Danio rerio: one gene and its partner. The protein of the gene in region 1 interacts with the protein of each later gene in a pairwise test. Links are inferred from orthologs where the notes say so. Each region holds a gene or a part of one and is shown in the gene's direction. Other genes may lie near its edges.

Region 1 (4,308 bases):
CAAAGGAATGTTGGACACAAATAAAATCTGTATGTAAGTGCATTTGAAGATGATACCTCTTACTCATAAATGGCATAAATTATAAAAACACATGATTAAAACAAGTTTTTAGTGTTTAAAAAATTAAACTTGAGAGAAAAAAAATCTTCTTAAACAAAACCATAGGGGGGAAAAGCAAACAAGCAAAAGTGAAAGCAATCGCTTATCATGTTTGTACTCTTTTTATGTTAATTATATTATTTAACTGTGATGCTCTTTTATTACAGTGTGTATAAAAGTGAGTACATCCCTAGCACTTCTAATTCTACGTCTAATTGCTCTTCTAGAGATGAATAAATGTAGATTTAAAAATAAGACCCTGGGTTAATTACTTCACCTAAAGGAATAGTTCAACCAAACAAAAATTTAATTCAAACAAATAAGAAAATAAGGAAATCTGACTCCCATAGTAACGTTAGGCTATTTGATTTTCCAATTGATGTCAATCGTTACAGGTTTTCAACATTCTACAAAATATCTTCTTATGTGTTGTGTTTAACAGAAAATAAAAAAATTAAACTTGTCCAGAACATGAGAGGAGTGACTAAATGGCAAATTTTCTTGGTGAACTATACCCTAATAAGGACTTTTTGACATTTTTATATTAGTTTTTTTTATCTAATGTAAATAAACAACCCTTAATGTACATTTAATTGTGTCACAAATTACCAACTTATCTGCAGATTTCTATTACAATTGTTTTTTTTTCAATTAAGTTACTCAAATAGCTAACGTTATACGAGTGCTGTTATGGCACAGTACATTAAAATATCCTTTCGTATTAATTACGAAAACCTTAGTTATGGCTGATTTCTAAAATGAGATAGTAAGCCCTAAATACAATATTATTAAGTATAATATAATATAATATAAATATAATAAAGTAAATCCTCAATACATTTTGAAGGCAGTATAAGACAAAAAGAAATCACTGTTTTTGTCACCTGACGACCTGCATGAATGCTCGATAAGTTCTACTGCTAAAGTTTGTTCACGGTTTAATTATTATCTCACTGTGTGAAGTCACCCAACTGCATCACAGGCCTCTTCAGTTCAAACACTTCTATTTCGCTCAGGCTTCTGGCAGGGCAGCAGAAACAGGGCCCATAAATTAATATTAAATAGCGCGTCGTGACGTTTCCCGGTGAGCATCCAATCACGCAATGCAGTTAATATTCATAAGACGTTCCTTCACCATAGTAGGAATCGTAAACTCACGCTCTGGCCACAGGTTGAAATCCATTCCAGCCGCTTGACCGAGACAACATCAGCGCTGCGCTCACAGCACCCACAAACATGGTAAGAAAAAACAAATTACATATCTATTGCATTCTTATCGTCCGTACCATTAACAAACTATTTAAAGTCTTTGTCCATACTCTCAACATGCAAGCATGGAATTTCCAAACAACATGCCTCTTTACACTATATTGGGTTGAACAATGTTTATTTATTGTTACTAAAATGTATTTTAAAATATTATATGTATTTTTATAATACTATTTTATTCATTCTTCACCTAACATTCAGTTGGTTGAGTTATTATTATTTTTTATTTAAAATATATACTATAAAATATAGTTAAAAGCTCATTATATAACATTCATGTTCATCATTTGCACTGTTAAGTGTTTGAGATGTCAGGTCTTTTACCTCGCTGTGTGTTCGCTCGTGCATCAGCATTAGTTCAGCAGATTAGGCTGTTGCTAAGAGACCTGTTGATGTCAGTCAGCTTTATCAGCGTTGGAGCTTCATTTTGACTGACATGTGTTTGCACAGACTCTTTGACGCAATATACTGATGATGGTTCAGTCTGGGACAATAGTGTGTGTATAGCACAAAAGAACACGCTGACACAAATCATCTTCATTTCCCTTTCATTCAGTAAAAAACCATGAATGCTGGGGAAAGCCTGTTGAAATCTCGTGTCATCTTCTTTATTAATGCTTTTTTTTTTTCTTGTAAGAGACATGTGTTTGAAGCTCATGTGATCTGTACTGAAAGTGGGAAAAGGGGAAGGGTTAAGTTGCTTAGGAATGTCATTGCCTCGACCAAATATGCTGGAGGCTCTTAAAATTGAAAATGCAAGTCATCATTGTTTCCATATGGGGTTCACAACAACCAATCACTGTGCTTTTTCTGAAACATCCCCATTGGAGTGTTTGTAAGAGTGTGTTCGTAAAGCTGTTTAAATAGTATCTGCTATATGTAAACAAACTATTGGTATGTACAAATAATTAGCAATCAATAAAATCTAATCTAATCTATAGGTATAGTAGGGTTTAAAATTTAAAAGTGTGTGTGTACTGGAGAAGTCTGTACTGCTCAACAAGCCGGCATTTATTAAATCAGAGGCAGTCAAATTTTGATATGTATTTACTGTTTTCTACTTGATTATATTTTAAAATGTAAAATATTCCTGTAACTTAAAAGCTGATTTTGTTAAAGCGGTGGTTCACTTTGATATCATGTTTTAAACTTTAGTTGATGTGTAATGTAGCTGCGTGAACATAAACAACATCTCTGAATGTAATTCAGCCAAACTTCAATGAGACATTGGCTTTTACAGTTAGCTTACCAAAGCCTACAGTGAGTGAGAATTGTGGGGACTACAAAAAACATCCATGTTAGTGAGATCACGAACGCTTCAGGTTTCGCGCATTCACTACACGCAGCAAAAGGGCATGGCCTGAGGTGCTGTAATGTAGCTGAGAAAGCTAAAATGCTGTCCAAAATGCTACAGGGCTTGTTCTGTTTCTGTATTTGGGCTTCCTAAGGACATGACACATATGTGGGCTTCCTAAGGACATGACACAAAGAGAAAAGTGCTTGCAATTGAATTTTAATTATGTTCTAGAGAATTATTAAAAATATATATAGCCAGTATTTGACAAAGGACAGCTTCCAGAATCATTCCCAGTTCAGTGCTGGATTCCGATAAAAACTCCTTAAAAAAGGAGCAGCTCCAACCATAATAGAAGAAGCTGTAGATTGTGAGCCACAACCTGTAAGCATTTTTAATATTTGTTAAAATTGACCTATTACACTGTAAAAACCGCAACAATCAATGTGTTGGGACAACATGAAGGAATTAAGTTAGCTTATTAGTTTTTACAAATTTAAGTAGATTGAACATAAAACAATTAAGTTGTCCCCAAAAAACTCATGAATTGTGTTGTTTAAGCTCGTTTTAAATAAGTAGTTTGAACAAACTGCAAACGTCATTTTTTGAGTGTACATGCATAGTGTCTAGCGTTAACAGTATTTTGTAGCATGGACGTAAACATGGATGTAAACAACAGGAAATGCTGATAGGCACCTTTAACAATTTAGCTACAAATTAATATTTGTCAGTCAAAACCCTGTAAACACCCACAATCTTCAGTAGCGCTGCAAGGCCTCTCTATGCGGCCGCTTTCCCTGCATTCTACATCACAAATGATGAACTCACAAAAGACATGTAAACGTTTCATATTACTTGCACATGCTTATTCTGAATATATGTGAAAGTCAGATTTTATTTTAGAGAGCAGGCCTGAGGTTCAGCTGTGTCCTCTGTGTCATTTTTCTGTCTGATTCAGGCACAAACTGATACGGCTAACAGCTACTCTGACTGACAGTGTTTATACATCGCAACAGTGCATGCTTGTTAGGACGTGATGCTTTTCCTGGTGGTGTGAAGCCGATCTGCGAATCACAGCACATTATGTTAGCTGACCAATCAGAGCCTCCTGAGGGCGGGCCTTTCAGAGGAACTAGGAAATTTGACAGTCGTTTTTATGTTAGCTGAGCAGCTGTATATAATATGATAATATATATAAATAACATGATTTTCTACAAATGAAGCATGAGCACACATTGTTTTGCATCTTATAACCGCTACCAAGCCTTCAAAATACACGTTGGACCACTAAGCATAATTACCCCAGAGAAACGATTGTTTAGATATAACGTCTAATACACTTTAAAGGAGTTCAAAGAGTTGTAAAGACATTTAAAATGTTCTAGAAATAAAAGGGCCTTCATTAGGGCTGCACAATATTGGACAAATGGAATATTGTGGTATTTTAGGTTTCTGTGATTTTATGTATATTGCAATATACTGTATCTAATTAATTTCACCAAATGATTAAATAGCAGGATTTCTAGTCACACTTTATTTTAAAGTTCAATTCTCGCTATTAGCAAACCATTACCTATGACTTTTGCTCATAATTTGCTTCTCAACAGATATTGAGTTAGTTTAGCTATTGGGTTAGGGATGTAGAA
Region 2 (3,823 bases), on another chromosome or scaffold:
AGCACTGCAATGAGTGGCTTGTCTGTTTGCGTGTGGTGTTTCCCTTTGCACACCTGACCAGTCAGTGACCTCAGGTTGTGTGTTAATTTGGTTGAGAAGGGGGAGCAACGGGATGGAGTTGGTCTCTTCCATGCTTTTAGTCAAGGGACTTACAAGGTGTCCTGCCAGTGGCCTGCCAGCAGCATCAGCTGTTTTTGGTGTCAGAAGCTGGCCTGAAAATAATAGCACAGCAGGACCCCTCATCACGTTGCCAGGGCACAGCCTGTATTATGCATGCTTAATTGACAATTAAAATCCTCTGCTACTACATCTCCCAGTCCTTTGATAAGGGACTCCCCTCTTCCCTGCTCTCTTTACCTTCTCTCAGCAGGGAATCTTTTTGTCTATGGCATATTAGAAGACTGTAGTGACTGTAACCAAGGTTCATTTATCTCTGCTGGGCCAGGGGGAGGGACACCTCGAAGCCCCTCTCACCTTTATGGGCTGTGGTTTAGAGGCAGTGGCTGTGCTCTGAGCAGAACAGCAGGAGCTGTCCGATGGACTATTGGCTCTTTTTGGACCAGACAGGACTGATGAGTCTCTTCTTCTGCTCGAGGTATAGAAAGTACTGGGTGATTCCCTGTCTCAGCCCCCTCTTGGAAACTACATAAACCAGGGTTTTGTTAAAGAGGTCGTTACCAGGTCACATCAGTGAGAGACTTAACTTTTTTTATTGATTCAGGTTTGGCCTGTTGATAACAAACAGGCCAGTTCGCCGCCATTAGAAGGTCAACTGATATGTGCGTTTTGGGGGCTGGTTGTGGTCTTCCCTATGTTTGTGTTGTCGTCCTGTTGGAAAGCAAACTGCTTTCAAAATGGTCTTTGATCCTGTTTAGGCATGTTAGAATGGTTGTTTAACTAGCTTATATCATTTTTTGAGAAACTAAAATGATTAATTAAACAATATGACCCCTGAACATAATAGTGAAGGACAAGCAGAGGACAGGACAGTTTAACTTGTCTTGTTTTGGACTGTTGGGGGCAATAGAAAGGCTGAAAGGCCACATACGTCCTGCTAAGACCCAGGAGGCCTATCATATGCGGCAGTGCTATAATGAGCACTGCCTGGGGATGAAGAGCCAGGCTTTGATATTACATGTGTCCCAGGGAGAGCTGAACCCTTTAAACCAGTTGAACCCTCCTGCTTCCACTCCCCTTCAGCATTTCCCGCAACCCTCTGTCATTTTAACCAAGTTTTGTGGTAGCATTTTTTTACAGGTCAAACTGTATTGTGTGATTACCACAAGCATCATGAAACCTGAAAACAAATTTTTGAGTAGTGATAAGCTGAAATTTTTTGCCAATATGTAACTGTTGTCTATACTTAGTCAAGACGCTAATTTTAGCATTGGTCACTGAATGGTGCACATTGCTTTACTGAATAGTGTAATTAAGACTTAGTTTATGATGCCATTCCATGTAACTTTTATGTCGCGTTCTCAGAGGTTGTACATCGGTTTCTGGTTTCCTCAGAAACCGAGCCCTCCTGCTGGTCAGCATGGCCCAGACAGCACAGACCTGAATGATTGAACGTGAGAGGAGATCCCTGCAGTCTGAGTGAATGCCTGATAGAGTCAGACAATAGTCTGTTCTTTCCCTGACACTTTTAGTGGTTGTGCGGTAGTAAAGTAAAGACTGTTTATAGTTGCTGGCCTATTGTGTGCCAAGCAGGTTGTAGGCCCAATGGAGTGCTTTATTGTCCTGAGCTGGCGTTTACAAGACATTGTAGAGAGCTGGCAATGTTTTAAGTGTGCAAAGGGGTTGTATCTGTAGTTCCGCTACACAACAAAACTCAGCAGAGGGATTAGACTTTTCTGTCATTTTTTTTTTTGCTGCCACTAGCTTTTTTAGAAAAGCTCAGGGAATAATCCCATAACAAATGATAAATATTTATTTTGGCTGGGTCATCATCTCGCTTGGCTGCACAAACCTAGTATTTAAATGTAGGAGTGAAACTATGTGTCTGACATTAGCCTTAATTGAGAAATGTTTACCTTGTTCATATCTGTGGAGCGTGGGGTTGGCAAACATCGATTCGATAGAAGACAGGCTGGATTCCTGTGGCCTTCAATAGTCAAGAATACCCAACAAAATAAATAGCCTAAAAGAGAATTCAGCTTAGGTTGAACATAATTCTCTCATAAAACTTAATTTCATGTAGATCAGGAATGTTCCTGCAGTATGCAGCTCCTATGCACTTTGCTTGAAATTTCTTATATTTCTAAAAAAAACTATCTAGTTCAAATGTGTTTAATGCATGGATGTCCAAACTTGGTCCTGGTGGGCCGGTGTCCTGCAAAGTATAGTTCCAACCTAATCAGACACACCTGGGCTAGCTAATCGAGCTCTTACTAGGCTTTCTAGAAACATTCTTGCAGGTGTGTTGAGACAAGTTGGAGACAAAATCTGCAGGACATCGACCCTCCAGGACCGAGTTTGAACACCCTTGGTCTAATGGGACAGGAGAAAAACTCTGCTGAAAGGGGGCCCTCCAGGAGCAGGATTGTGCAGCACTGATATAGATTATTTTAACAAAGTTCTGAAGTTCAGCACAACATAGTTTTTTAGAGTTGCAGACAGCTAACGTGTACACATTGAGATGACCTTGACCGTTCAGCCACCAGATGTAGAGGCCCTTGTTTGTTTGCTCTTCCAAACTTGTCAGTGACCAACAAATACTGGCTGGGTCACATTTTGTAAAGCAGTTAGAAGATTAAAACTAAAACTAATTTATCTCTTCCTTCCTTTACAACAGGTGTCCGGTACAGCCAACAAGGTCCAGGTGAAGTCAGTTCTTCAACAACGATCAATCACCATAGCAGCAATGCCATGTCAACCAGCCAGTCAGTGTTACAGCAGGTCTCTCCAGGGGCGCTGGACCCCAGTCACAGCCTCCTGTCACCTGATGCCAAGATGGTAAGCACTTCCAACACTGATAAGATAACACTATGTCTGCTCTTGACACAGTAACACAAAGTAGCGCTTGATAGATATCTTCACCCAGCAAGTGGGCTTACAATTGCTGCATTGTACTTCCCAGTGCTAAACCCAAAGCTAGACGGCAGGCCTTGGCCCACAGTGCACTGCAGGGCTGATCTTAGTAAATGTTAGCTGGTGGTAGTGAGAATGGGGCACGGCCATGGCTGTTCCAACAAACCTGACAAAGAGACATTCTGTTTGTATTGATTAAATGCCGCGCAGAGGAGAGGAAGGGTGGAGTTGTGCTTGTTCTCTGTTGGTTGAGTGACACTGGCGCTCAATGGAGTTGCTTATCTGAATACTAATGTTTGAGTTGGGCGAGATCTTCATGTAGCTTTTTGTTTCAGGACAATTTTCTGTGCATTAATTTTTCTAGCAAGGCTGCAGTGTTACACTATAGGTCAAATTCATCATGGTCTAGGGTGCGTTTCTGTCAACAGCCAGTTGGAAGTTGGCGTAGGAGGAAGGGAGTATGACAGCAGCTTATCTGAGCAGTCAGACGTTTGTCTGAGCATGGCCTCCTCTCAACTCTGCCTATTCAAATAAAGCTCTGTGCCTCCTGTCAGGGCTCTGATACTTTCTTAAGATAAGAGTACAATTCTGACAGAAGCGTTCTAGTCATTCTGATGAACTGGTGGTGTATTTTCTTCACAGATCTCGGTATCAGGTGGAGGTCTTCCTCCAGTAAGCACCCTGACCAACATCCACGCATCCCACCATGTGCACCAACAGACCCCTAACCTTATAATGCCACTCTCTGGAGTCATGGCCATTGCACAAAGTGAGTGTCCATCCATATTTGGTT

Evidence for each region.
Region 2: the proteins of pcbd1 (region 1) and hnf1ba interact in binary tests that used the Homo sapiens proteins (3 or more experiments, as listed by UniProt). The link is inferred for Danio rerio from reciprocal best matches to the Homo sapiens genes PCBD1 and HNF1B.

Annotation. Positions count from the first base shown.
Region 1 is NC_133188.1:28,937,963-28,942,270, forward strand, and holds the start of pcbd1 (pterin-4-alpha-carbinolamine dehydratase), read left to right. Parts: upstream 1-1,316; 5' UTR 1,317-1,335; coding exon 1,336-1,338; intron 1,339-1,692; exon of another isoform or gene 1,693-1,806; intron 1,807-4,308. Other genes in the region: si:dkey-192p21.6 (uncharacterized protein), read right to left, coding at 1-76. UniProt on the Homo sapiens protein: Involved in tetrahydrobiopterin biosynthesis. Seems to both prevent the formation of 7-pterins and accelerate the formation of quinonoid-BH2. Coactivator for HNF1A-dependent transcription.
Region 2 is NC_133190.1:18,433,348-18,437,170, reverse strand, and holds part of hnf1ba (hepatocyte nuclear factor 1-beta-A), read left to right. Parts: intron 1-2,794; coding exon 2,795-2,955; intron 2,956-3,672; coding exon 3,673-3,799; coding exon of another isoform or gene 3,800-3,823. UniProt on the Homo sapiens protein: Transcription factor that binds to the inverted palindrome 5'-GTTAATNATTAAC-3'. Binds to the FPC element in the cAMP regulatory unit of the PLAU gene. Transcriptional activity is increased by coactivator PCBD1.